Linked DNA regions of Coturnix japonica. The protein of the gene in region 2 binds, or shares a complex with, the protein of the main gene of each other region. Links are inferred from orthologs where the notes say so. Each region holds a gene or a part of one and is shown on either strand. Other genes may lie near its edges.

What was found.
Region 1: the proteins of CLOCK (region 2) and CIPC are in contact, whole or in part, in a crystal structure (PDB 5VJI), measured with the Mus musculus proteins. The link is inferred for Coturnix japonica from reciprocal best matches to the Homo sapiens genes CLOCK and CIPC. Residues at the interface, in NP_001276755.1 of Mus musculus: Gln519, Leu526, Lys527, Leu530, Arg533, Ile537, Asn540, Ile541, Arg543, Gln544, Glu547, Leu548, Ile551, Gln554, Leu555, Val558; in XP_006515773.1 of Mus musculus: Asn401, Thr402, Val405, Leu406, Ser409, Leu411, Ile414, Thr415, Thr418, Leu421, Ile422, Asn425, Thr428, Gln429, Leu432, Leu435, Lys436, Thr439, Gln440, Phe442, Ile443, Thr446.
Region 3: the proteins of CLOCK (region 2) and ARNTL are in contact, whole or in part, in a crystal structure (PDB 4F3L), measured with the Mus musculus proteins. The link is inferred for Coturnix japonica from reciprocal best matches to the Homo sapiens genes CLOCK and BMAL1. Residues at the interface, in NP_001276755.1 of Mus musculus: Arg46, Gln49, Phe50, Leu53, Ile54, Glu56, Leu57, Met60, Leu61, Pro62, Lys70, Ser71, Leu74, Gln75, Ser77, Ile78, Phe80, Leu81, Arg82, His84, Lys85, Thr88, Glu95, Ile96, Gln98, Asp99, Trp100, Pro102, Phe104, Leu105; in XP_030097882.1 of Mus musculus: Lys70, Met71, Phe74, Ile75, Glu77, Leu78, Ser80, Leu81, Val82, Asp93, Leu95, Leu98, Arg99, Ala101, Val102, His104, Met105, Lys106, Leu108, Arg109, Gly110, Ala118, Tyr120, Lys121, Pro122, Phe124, Leu125, Asp127, Asp128, Glu129.

The regions. Positions count from the first base shown.
Region 1 is NC_029520.1:35,438,000-35,441,647, reverse strand, and holds part of CIPC (CLOCK-interacting pacemaker), read right to left. Parts: intron 3,421-3,648; coding exon 2,542-3,420; 3' UTR 1-2,541.
Region 2 is NC_029519.1:58,711,417-58,715,064, forward strand, and holds part of CLOCK (circadian locomoter output cycles protein kaput), read left to right. Parts: intron 1-377; coding exon 378-467; intron 468-1,549; coding exon 1,550-1,670; intron 1,671-2,232; coding exon 2,233-2,346; intron 2,347-3,135; coding exon 3,136-3,254; intron 3,255-3,648. UniProt on the Homo sapiens protein: Transcriptional activator which forms a core component of the circadian clock.
Region 3 is NC_029520.1:11,920,066-11,924,343, reverse strand, and holds the start of ARNTL (aryl hydrocarbon receptor nuclear translocator-like protein 1), read left to right. Parts: upstream 1-1,438; 5' UTR 1,439-1,556; intron 1,557-4,278. UniProt on the Homo sapiens protein: Transcriptional activator which forms a core component of the circadian clock.

The DNA.
Region 1 (3,648 bases), on a different chromosome or scaffold from region 2:
TTGCACCTTTTCTACCAGGTGTATTTTAGGAAGTCTACAACAGCATTCTCCACAGCCTTCTCTAATCTTGATTCCCAAAGGCGTCAGAAAATGAAGGGGTGTAACCACAAACTAGCAAGAGTTCTATTATAATTTCAAGTACCCTTTTTAAGAATCTGAAGTGAAGTGATCAGAGCATCAAAATACCCAGTGATCTACATGGCACAATTTTTGGAAAGCATTTTAAAGTGGAAATGAACACACTATAAGCAATCTATATTTCTTAGCCTTCATAGGGAGACACTCTTAGTTCTTTTACATAGACTGCCTCTGGTAAAAAACATACAAACCCTTTTTATTGAAGGGACTGACACAAGTGTCCAGATAAACTGACATCTGTAGAATAGCTTTTGCAACTGACTACTGCAGATGTCTGCTAATAACACTGAATAAGATGTTAGGCCTTAACTACATTTCATGTCAAGCAGGTTAGGGATGAGATACATTTATGTGGAAGAAAATAATTTTAATTTCAAATTCAAGCAGATAAAACTTATAGTAAGATTTTCCAAGTTGACATCTTTTTATATAGTTATTTTTAAGTACACACATTTACTAAATTTCCCTCAAAAAGGAGGGAAGGGAGATGGTAGGACTTGTTTTACCGTGAGCCAATATGCCCCTTTTCCTCTCACTTCTCTCCTTTTTTTCCATTCTTAGCAATTGATCTCACAGATTCACAGAATTGTAAGGGCTGGAAGTGACCTCTAAGGATCATCTAGTCCAACTCCCTGCCAAAGTAGGCTAACTAGACCAGGTTACACAGGTAGGCATCCATGTGGGTCTTAACTCCAGAGAAGGTGTCTTCACATCTCTCTGAGCAGCCCATTCCAGTGCTCTGTCACTGTTACCATGAAGAAATCTCTATGCACATTTGAGCAAAACTTCCTATGCTTCAGTTTGTGGCCATTCCCCCTTGTCCTGTTACCACTGCTGAAAAGAGTCTGGCCTCATCCCTCTGCCTTCTGCACCTTAGATGTTCATGAACACTGATCAAATCCCCTCTCAGTCTTCTTTTTTCAAGGCTGAACAGGAATAGGTCGCTCAGCGTTTCCTCAAAAGAGGGGTGCTCCAGGCCCTTTATCATCTTTGTGGCCCTCTACTGGACTCTTTCCAGAAGATCCCTGTCTTTTCTGTACTGGGGAGCCCAGAACTGGACACAGTACTCCAGGTGAGGACTCACCAGGGCAGAGTAGAGGGGGAAGATCATCACCCTTGACCTGCTGGCCATGCTCTTTTTAAGGCATCTGAGAATGCCATTGGCATTCTTGGCCACCAGGGCACACTGATGGCTCATGGACAACCAGCTGTACAGCAGGACACCCAGGTCCCTCTCTGCAGATCTCCTTTCCAGCAGGTCACCCTCAACCTGTACTGGTACATGCAGTTATTCCTCCCTAGGTGCAAGATTCATCACTTGCTCTTGTTAAACCTAACCTGGTTCCTCTCTGCCAAACTCTTCAGCCTGTTCAGGTCTCGCTGGCACAACCTTCTGGTGTATCAGCCATTCCTCCTAGCTTCGTATCGTCAGCAAACTTGCAGAGCGTGGACGTTATCCCCTCATCAGCATCACTGATGAAGATATTGAACAAGATCGGAACAATTTCACAGAAAAAAAAAAAAAAAAAAGGAGGAGTTCAGCCTTACAAACAAAAGATTTACACATAAAATAACCTTTAACTAGTCTTGCCAAATTAACCCTGGTAAACAAGTATCTTCCTTGCATTATGTTAAAAAACACCTCTGCATTCTACCAAGAAAATCCAAAGCCACTTTCCCTGTACACTTTTTAGTCACTAATGGGTAGTGCAAATAAATACAGCTTTGAAACAAATACTTGCAGTGCAAGCCTTGCAATTCTCATTCACTCATCTTTACAGATCACAATCCAACGTATGCTCATCAAAAATCAAGTCACTGGGCTCCTAAGACTCATCACTTTGGTCAAAGATTGCAATAAATACAGAATGCTGCTTCACCACAAGCAGATCTCCACTAATTCAGAACAAGTGTAACCCCAAAAGCAAGACTTCTGTCAACAGTCAGCAGTCTCATATCACCCCACCAAGCTAAGCTTCTTCTCCTCACACCTACTCTCTTTATCATCTACTTGCAACTGGTGATAGCCCAATACTGAGGACTGTTTTGCTATGCCACTCTCAGAACTGACTATCTGAAGATGGAAATAGGAAGAAACTTGCTTGCATAATTCTGCAAATGACTGTCTTCTCACAGCAAGAATGGGAACATGCCAGCAGAGCACATCCAAGCTTCTGAAGTTCAAGAAAGTATAGAGTTAGTATGAAGTTCAAGGTCACACTGGAGTAGTGAGTATTCATCTTGTCAAGATCCCACTGTGCTGCCCCAGTCCCATGACTGGCTGTAAAGACAAGTTGTAAATGTCATGCCATCTTACACATCTTGGACTCAGTACGTTCAAATAAAAGCTTGACAAAGGAAATAGGAGGCACAGGAATAATTTAACAGCTATGTACCATTTTACTACATGTTTGGATAAGTGGAATCTTCAAGGTTGCTATTAGCTTTATCTGAACCTGTTAAAGATGCTTCTAGCTCTGCCCATGACTGTGGAGCATTGTTCTTTATTGCCTCTATGAAAAGTTGTGTTTGGTGCTTCAGCCTGTCCAGCTCAGCTTGAGTCACCTGGTTCTGATGAATGAGCTCCTTGGTTTTTAAAGTGATCTCCAGCAATCCTGACCTACGTAGCACAACGAGTGTATTCTGAAAACGTCTGCACTTACTTTGCTGTTGCAAAAGCAGCTCAGGGGTAGTGCAAGTCTCTTCTGGTATCAATGGCAGGCTCCACACCGCAGACTGCATTGTAGTTTGTGCTTCACTCTCATTCTCATGAGGAGTGCACTTTGCCGTCTGTAGAGTTCCAAAAGGCAACAGAGAAGCCAAGCCTGGAACTTTTGGAGTGTCAGCAGAAACACAGTGGAAACCAGGAAGAGTTGATAATTTTCCAGTTGTCATCAAACTTGAAGAACTTTGCTGGTTAGAATCCTGAGGAGCCTTAAAGCTTACTGGTAGGTGGGAAAAAGGACTAGTAGACAAACCTGTGCTCCTTGATACAGGAGAAGTATCCATTTTAGATGCTTCTGTGCAGAGTCGTTTACGGCAACTGGTTTCCTGACGTTCCTCTAGATCGAAGGAGTGATCTCTTTTGCAGGGCTGTGGTGCTATTTTGGGGTAAGAGTTCAGGATGGGCAAGTAGTTAGTGGAATCGTTTCTCTTTTTCCCAGCAGGGTGAGGGTTAATGGGAGGTGGGATTGATGGGTGAAGAAATACCAGCTGTGGCTGAGCTGGAATCACTTCAAAGGATGGCTGGACAGTCCAAGACTGGAGCTGGGACGAACTCCCCTGAGAAGCATAAATGGGGAAAAACACAATTCTTACAGCAGTGCTATTGATAATGATTAAAAAAATCTTAAGCAAAACAGGTGGATTACATCATTTCTTCATAACTGATGCATGCTACACAATATAACATATTGTGAACAGCTTATTATCAAACTCATTGTTCTCTTCTCTGACAACAGAACCACACACTAGAATCAAAGCTGAAAACCACATATAGAGAATACATTT
Region 2 (3,648 bases):
GTTCTTTGTATCTTTTCTCCTGCTTTTCTTTCTTTTGCTGCCAGTTCATTTTCCTGAGCTTTCTGGTGTTTAAAAAGATGTTGTAATTAAAAATAACAAGCAGACAAGATGGCAGGCCTCAGAGCCAAGTAAACAACGGCTAGATGCGTAAGGACCAAAATCTTGCCTGTGAAATCATAGATTATTTGAGAACAGAGCATATGGAAATTGTAATGCTCACAGTGTAAAAGCAAGACTAGGGAGTTTTAATACAGAACTCTCATTGTTATAATAAATTTAATTAAAATTGGTCTAAATTCTTTTCAGTGTTGCATATAGCTTAACACTTTTAACATGCAGTTTCTTTTTATTTAACTGCCTATTATGTTTAATTTCAGGCTCTTGATGGTTTTTTTTTAGCAATTATGACAGATGGAAATATAATATATGTGTCTGAAAGTGTAACTCCTTTACTTGAACATTTGCCAGTAAGTATGAATTCCTTTCAGTAATGTGCCAGTTTGTCTGTGGGTGATATTCTACTACAAGTACTAATAATCTTTGTTCTTTTGGGCATTATAGTTGGGCAGATGTGTACGGTATTCTCATGCTTTTGCACAAATCCTTGCTCCTGGTTTGTGTTCTACATTAAATATTTCCTTCGGATATGCAGAATGCAGCTGGTGCTCTCTTAGGCAGGATTAAGTATTACCAGACTAGCGTCAGTTTCTCTTCAACATGACTATAACAACAGATGTGACTATAGGAGGTCCTTTAGAGTTCACTCCCGTAGTGGCCTCTACATGAATCAGAAGAATATTGCTAAAGAGCAGTACCTTGGAATTTTTTTTAACTGTTTTTTTACTTTTGCTTATTTGCCAAAGAACTCTCATAAGAAATGCATTATTGCTGATTCTGCTTTTTAGGCTAGGTGAATACTTTGAGTTTTGTCACATTCACTCATCTTGAATTTTGTTGACATTGCTTGCTGCTAAGAAGTTACCTTTGAATAATATCACTAAGAAATGAGAAACATTAGGTCTCAAAGATGTAGAGTTACTGAGTGAAGCAGAGCTAGAAGAGATGGACAAATAATTGGTACAGGCAAGTTGTCTTACAGTGGTAAGAGAAGAATTGATGTAGGGTTGTAGGGAGGTGCTGCTTTTTGTTACAAAATGCTGTTTGGATGTGTTGATTGCCACTGACAGATTACAATGCACTACACCACCATTATATAATTTCTCGTTTAAATGCTGCTTTATTTACCACCCGGAGAGATTAATAGAAGTTCCACTGTACTTATATGTGCATGCATATCTGATGCATTCATGGCATCTTCATTAAATGATTCAGTGTCAAAGCAAATGAAAATGGTGGTTGTTTTTTTTTACCTGCAAAGTGTTTGCATGTAATCCATCAAGTGACGGTAATGAGTTAGTAATATTTCAGTGATCTTTTTCTGAATTGATTTTGTTTTCTTTCTCTGGAATTGTTTTGCACCAAAATAGTAACATTTGTGATCTTGTATGTCTTGCGTTATTTTAAAATGTATTAAATATTTCCCTTTCAGTCTGATCTTGTGGATCAGAGTGTATTTAATTTTATCCCAGAGGGGGAACATTCAGAAATCTATAAAATTCTGTCTTCTCATCTGCTGGAAAGTGATTCATTGACACCAGAATACTTAAAATGTAAGTATTTGCATTAAGAACAATCCCCTTCATGTTGTATGTGATTAGTTCCTTTTTGCAGTGCTGTGTAAGTGGAAGTGTGTAGATGAGACATTCAGAATGAAACGCACAACTTGAATGGAAACACTTTCATGCTGTGCTGTTCCTCTTTTCCCTGAAGAGTAATTTTGTGTTGCGCGGCATTTCACTCTATGACTTTGTTTACATAGCTTCTATTTAGACCATTCTAGCAGCTGACAAGAATGAAAACAGGCCATGAGTGTTGGAAGGACATAAAGTTACGTTTTGGGCAGATGCTTGTTTAAAATGGTTCTATTTTTTTCACGGGATCTCTATGTTGTTGACATTCAGTCCTATCACACACACATTCCAAATGAGTTTTCCTTTTCTTTAGCTTAGCTAATATCACGCTGGCTAAAAGCAAAAGCTGTAGTTACTCGTAATCACCACATTTACAGCATCACAGTAAAGCGCACAACTTAATTATTCCTGCTTTCAGTTTCTTGTTCCCTGTGTGTTTCATCAACCACGCAATCTTTTAATTTGTTTGCTCTTTTTTCAGCAAAAAATCAGCTAGAATTCTGCTGCCATATGCTGCGAGGAACAATAGACCCAAAAGAGCAACCTACATATGAATATGTAAAATTCATAGGAAATTTCAAGTGTTTGAATAATGGTAAGTAATTTCAGTCATATTAGAGTGGAATACTTTGGGAGCTTCATATGTGAACAGGCTTAGGATGACAGTGCAAAACTTAAGGAAAAGCTAAAATCGGTCTTTGAAAAGAGCCTGAAACAGAGTTACATCAATTTTTTCTTGTTTTAATGAAAACAAAGTCAGACGGCCCATCAGATATTGCACATACGTGCATTTGTAGGCAAAATATTCAGTCTTTCAGTTAAAGAAAGCTGCAAAACATTTTTAAACAGAGCACGAGAGAAATTTAAGTCGACACTTTGAAGTAAGAGCCTGAATTAAGTATAATCTGTATTTAAGCAGGTGGCTAAGTTACTTCAGGATCACCAATACTAAGTATCTGCTGTTCTCATCGTTCTTAGTGAGCTGACAAGAAAAATGCGTGTTCTGCACTCCTCCCCCCGCAGTTTCTGCTTTCACAGTTACTGCTCAGATCAGTGGACGGACTGTTATAGGATTTTGCTTTTCTGCACTGAGTGACCTCTCTCATCCACTGAACTTATTAGTCATTATTCCCACTTCTGTACTACAGCATCTTAAGTTTGCTTGCCTGTGCAGAGTAGCTTGTGTAGCACATCTGTTTGGTTTGTCAGATAGGTGGACTGTGGGCTGTGCTCAGTATCTGATGCTTTAGAAAAGCTAGAAAAACAGGTCTGTAAAGATCAAATATGATGATAAATACTGATCCATTTGAGTTGTGATGTGACTGCCGTTCTCCTCCATGCCTCTGTAGTAACCTTTGCTGACCTCTTCTCTGTCTTCCGTCAGTTCCCAATTCAGCACACAATGGTTTTGAAGGAACTATTCAGCGGTCGCACCGGCCTTCATATGAAGACAAAGTTTGCTTTATAGCCACAGTTAGATTAGCTACACCTCAGTTTATCAAGGTATGCACTTTTATATCATATCAGTTTTATACATTTTTAACCGTACTCTGAACAGGAACACTTTAGAGAAAATGCATAGAGCACTTCAGATAATATTGATGGAAATCATAAGGAGTTCTGTCATATGAAACTGAAAATGTCCATATTTCTTACTACGGGAGTACTGTTGCAAGTTCCTGCAGTAGCTGAAGTAAAGATTTAGTGTATTCTGTGTCCTATTTGTAAAGCCAAAGTAAGGTGACCATCTTCATAATGGTACTTCTTCCCCATTATAAGCATGTACTGCTTGTACCGCTGTGCTTGTAGACACTGAGCATGAGTTTACCAGCTGCATTTAAATCATCTGAGTGTCGGCCTCACATGGCTGATGTTAGATTCTACCTCAGTGCTATGC
Region 3 (4,278 bases), on a different chromosome or scaffold from region 2:
ATGGAAAATACACCCTCCCAGTGTGTAGCCTGTGCACCTGAAGTCCTACCTCTTCTTTCTGCAGTATACAGACACAAGCTGGAAGAATGATGAAAACTCTATTGTGGTGACTGTAGAACTCGCTTCAACTTGTGATTTCTTAGCTCTTGGGTGATAATCGTTGTACCCTTGAAATTTAAAGGGTGTAACAGTTGGTTATAAAAAGCCTTATTAAACTACACAAAAATTTTTACTGCACTGAACTTAAGATTTATTTTAAAGAATGTAGCAGAATGGGATTGGTATACAACATCATATGCTGAAAACCAGAATTTGATTAACCAGATGCTGTTATTTCCTTTAATTTCTCATTAATAGAAACAATTCAAAACAATCATTTACTGGGAAATATGACATATGGCCTGCTAAGCTGCTTTCCTACAGAAATAACAAAAGATCATTACTCTTGGCATCAAGCCCTACAGCAGTCACTGGGCTCATTAAGGCTGACAGTGTGTGGCTGAACGCAACAGGAAGATGATTTCTACAGGTGGGTAGAAACAACAATGAAAACTATGAAGACTTGTGAGAAAGAAGTAGTCAAGGAGATTTCTCCACCTCCGGAACTTCTGTGCACTAAACCAAATCCAAACAGTAAAACGGTTGCTAAAAGATGACAGAATAATAGAGTCGATTGTGTTGGAGTGGACTTTTAAAGGGCATCCAGTTCAACTCCAGGCTGGAGTCTCTCCAGAAGAGACTGAAGGAACTGGGGCTGTTTAGATGGGGAAAAGTAGGGTGAGGGGAAACCTTATTGCTCTCTTATAGTATCTGAAAGGTGTTCACAGCAGCCCAGGGAGGTGGTTGAGTCACCATCCCTGGATGTGGTGCTCAGGGACAGGATTGAATGGAGGCTTGTGAGGGTGGCATGGTTGGGTTGTGGTTGGACTCGATGATCCCTGAGATCCATTCCAACCTGAGTAATTCTATTATTTGATGTACAGGGGCACAGTGAGGTCAGGTTGCTCAGAGCCCCGACCATGACAGTCTCTGGGCACTGGGTTTCCACCGTATCTCTGTGCAATACGTACCAGTTCCTCACCACCCGCCTTGTTACAAACACCTTTATACCCACTATACACAATGTGCTCACAGCGATGACCGGCCACTATAACGCCCGCCACCGCCACATCCGGGACACCGCGCCCAATGCTGAGGGGGGCGGAATCAAAACTCCCGGCCGGCTCTCCGATTGGCTGCCGCTCCAGGAGCGCCCGCGGATTGGCCTCCACTCAAGAGGGCGGGCGTTGCCCCGTTGCCGGCCTCTCATTGGACGAGGCCTCTCGGGAGCCGCTCTCTGATTGGCGGGCGGGCGCGTCCGGTGCTGGTCCGGGGGAGGGTGCGATTGGCTGGAAAGTAGGTTAGTGGTGCGCCGTTGGGTGGCAAGCCAGGCGGAAAGTAGGTCAGGGACGGGGGCTGCCCGCGGCGGGTGCCGCTCCGAGCCACGCGCGGTGCCCACGGACGGCGACCCCCCCCCACAACACGGCCCGGGGCGCGGCAACGAGAGGGGGTGAGCGGTGAGCGGCGGTGGGCGGGTGGGAAGGGGAGGGGGGCGCTAACGGGCGGCCACGGGAGCGGCTTCCCCGGGGCCAGCGGGCCGGGAGGGAGATGCGGACGGAGCGGGCCGACCTGACCGGAGCAGGAGGCGGCGGGTGGCAGCCGGCCACGGGGCAGAGCGGGGCCGGGAGGGAGGAGGGGAAACGCGGTGCCTCTTCCCCGCCCGCATCCCTCCGCCCGCCCTCGTGCCCCGGGGTCTCACGGCAAAGCCGGGCCCCGGGAGCGTGTGTGCCGGAGCTACGAGAGATGGCAGCGCCCGGGGGATGCGGGCGGCTCCGGGCAGGCCGGGCGGTGGCAGCGGGTTGGGGCAGCTGCGGGACGGATCCGTGCTGCAGCCAGAACAACGCTTCCAGGTGCCGGGAAGGTCTACCCGTGATCGCGGCTGTGTGTGTGTGTGTGCAGGGAACCAGGCTGCCTGCCCAGCGGTTGGGGTTTCTGTGACTCCAGTGCCTCGACGGTGACAGTTCTGGAAAGGGTTTGGTTGAAATAACGGTGAGGAAACAAGCGGGTGTGCTTGCGAAGATGCCCGTCGTGACTTCTACATATTTGCTTGGTCTCCGAGGTGAAAAGGGTCAACTGGTGACGCGCCTAACGTTCTTAAATGATTTCGGAATCATTCTGAATCTTATATTCCCACCCTTGGTTCGCAGGCATTCGGATTGAAACTTCATTGCAGTTTCTTTCGAGCGGGTTGAATCAAGCTCCCATCCGTACCCGTTTGGTTCTGTTTTACCAATAAGGCTACTAGGTGGGAGCAACTGGTAGCGCCCAGGCTGCTGCTGTTTGCAGGGAAGGAAGGAAGGCTGGTTGGTTTCCATTGGCTGGAGCTGCCGGCCGACTGGTTCTGTGCTCAGCGTCCTGCACAAGGCTGAAGTTAAACTCTGCCCCCAAAGAACGTGTGCTTGCTGTGCTGTAGGAATATGCCAACAGCTCTTTCAGGTGGCAGAAACTGGAGGGCTCTCACCTGGATGTTTTAAACCATGTTCCGTCTATTAGGAGAAAACCTTTACTACTTCTGGGCTTTGTGGGCTGGTGCTTCTTGTGGCTATTCATGATTTTATGTCTCCATGTGGAAATGGACTGTGAAATAACAGTATGATCCAAGTATTACAAGTATTGGTATTACATCCAAGTCTGAGGCCCTCAACACAGGAAAGATGTGGGGCTTGTAGAGAGGGTCCAGAGGAGAGCTGCCAGGATGATCAAAGGGCTGAAGCACCTCTTCTACAAAGGCTGAAGGAGCTGGACTTAGTCTGGAGAAGAAGCAGCTGTAGGAAGACTCTGGCTTTCCAGTATCTAAAGGGAGCTCAGGAACAGGAGGGAAAACAACTTGTAAGACAAGTAGATAGTGATCAGCCAGGGGGAATGATTTTAAACTAAAGGAAGGAAGATTCACATTAGATATCGGGGGAGTTGCTTTACTGAGAGGAGGCTGAGGTGCTGGAACAGGCTGCCCAAAATGAGCGTGGATACTCTGTCCCTGGAGGTGTTCAAGGTCAGGTTGGATGGGGCTCTGAGCAGACTGATCTTGTGCTTGATCTGATGGTTGGCAATCCTGCCTGTGCTGGGGGGTTGGAACCTGATCCTTGGGGTTCCTTCTAGCCAAAGCCATTATGCGATTTAATGATTCTGTTCTCTTTTGTATTGCACGTGTCCATAGTCTGTTCTCATTGTAGCTGTGGTGGATGCAGCATAGAGGACTCCACATCTGTATAAGGGATACACTGGGGTGCTGCCTCTGCAGGTACTGGAGGAACCTAAGGAAAGCTGCCTTGTGTTCCTGCAGGGCCTTCTGTATATTACAGGAGCATCCGTAAATCTACCTGCTGCTGGGCTTTCCCAAAGACAGGGCCAAGGAGGGCCGGCTGCTAGATCACTGCCATTGCCAGCCACCAAGAAACATGCTATGCACAAAGACCACTGATAAGGGGGTATTAGGAAGGTCACCTTTATAGGGCTGGCTTATTGAAGGCTTCTTTTCCCACTAAATATCTACTCTCAAGGATTTCTTTTGGGAAACCAGGAAAGGGAACAAATGAACACTCACTGGATTTACTTGGCAGAGCTTTGTTATGCACAGTTCCTCGTCGCTATCCAAGGCTGTGATGACAAAGATGAAACCTAATGTGATAGCCACAGCCTGAGTGCTGCAAATGAGTAAAACCATTTCTAAAAGCAAATTGCAATCAAGCAAACTAGAAAGGCATAGAGACACATAGGCTAATTAATTTAGATGAATACATAAGTGCTGTTTCACACTCAACTTCAATATTTTCTTTCCAGCATGGAGCTGGTTGTCTGTGTGCTAATGGTTTGACAGGAGGTACAGGGAAACTGGAAGAAATAGAGTTGTCAGGACAAAGCACTGAGTTTGGTGGATCCCTCAGGGGCTTTCTTTAGTTACAGAACTTGTGTGCTTCTGACTTTTAACCTTTATCATGGCAATTCTGTCCATAGCGTACTTCTGAAAGAGCAGAAAAGTGGTAAGCATCTGGTTATATCTTCCAATGCCAGCAAATGTAGAGTTCTCTGAAAAGCTGAAGACAATTTTCTTCTACAGAAAACATGTAAAGATGTATTCCAATAATTGCAAAGACTCATATAAATACATAATTTTAAGCTTGCGTAGCTTCCTTGTTTTCAGTAAGATTACGGAACACACAGAATAACTCAAGTTTTAGT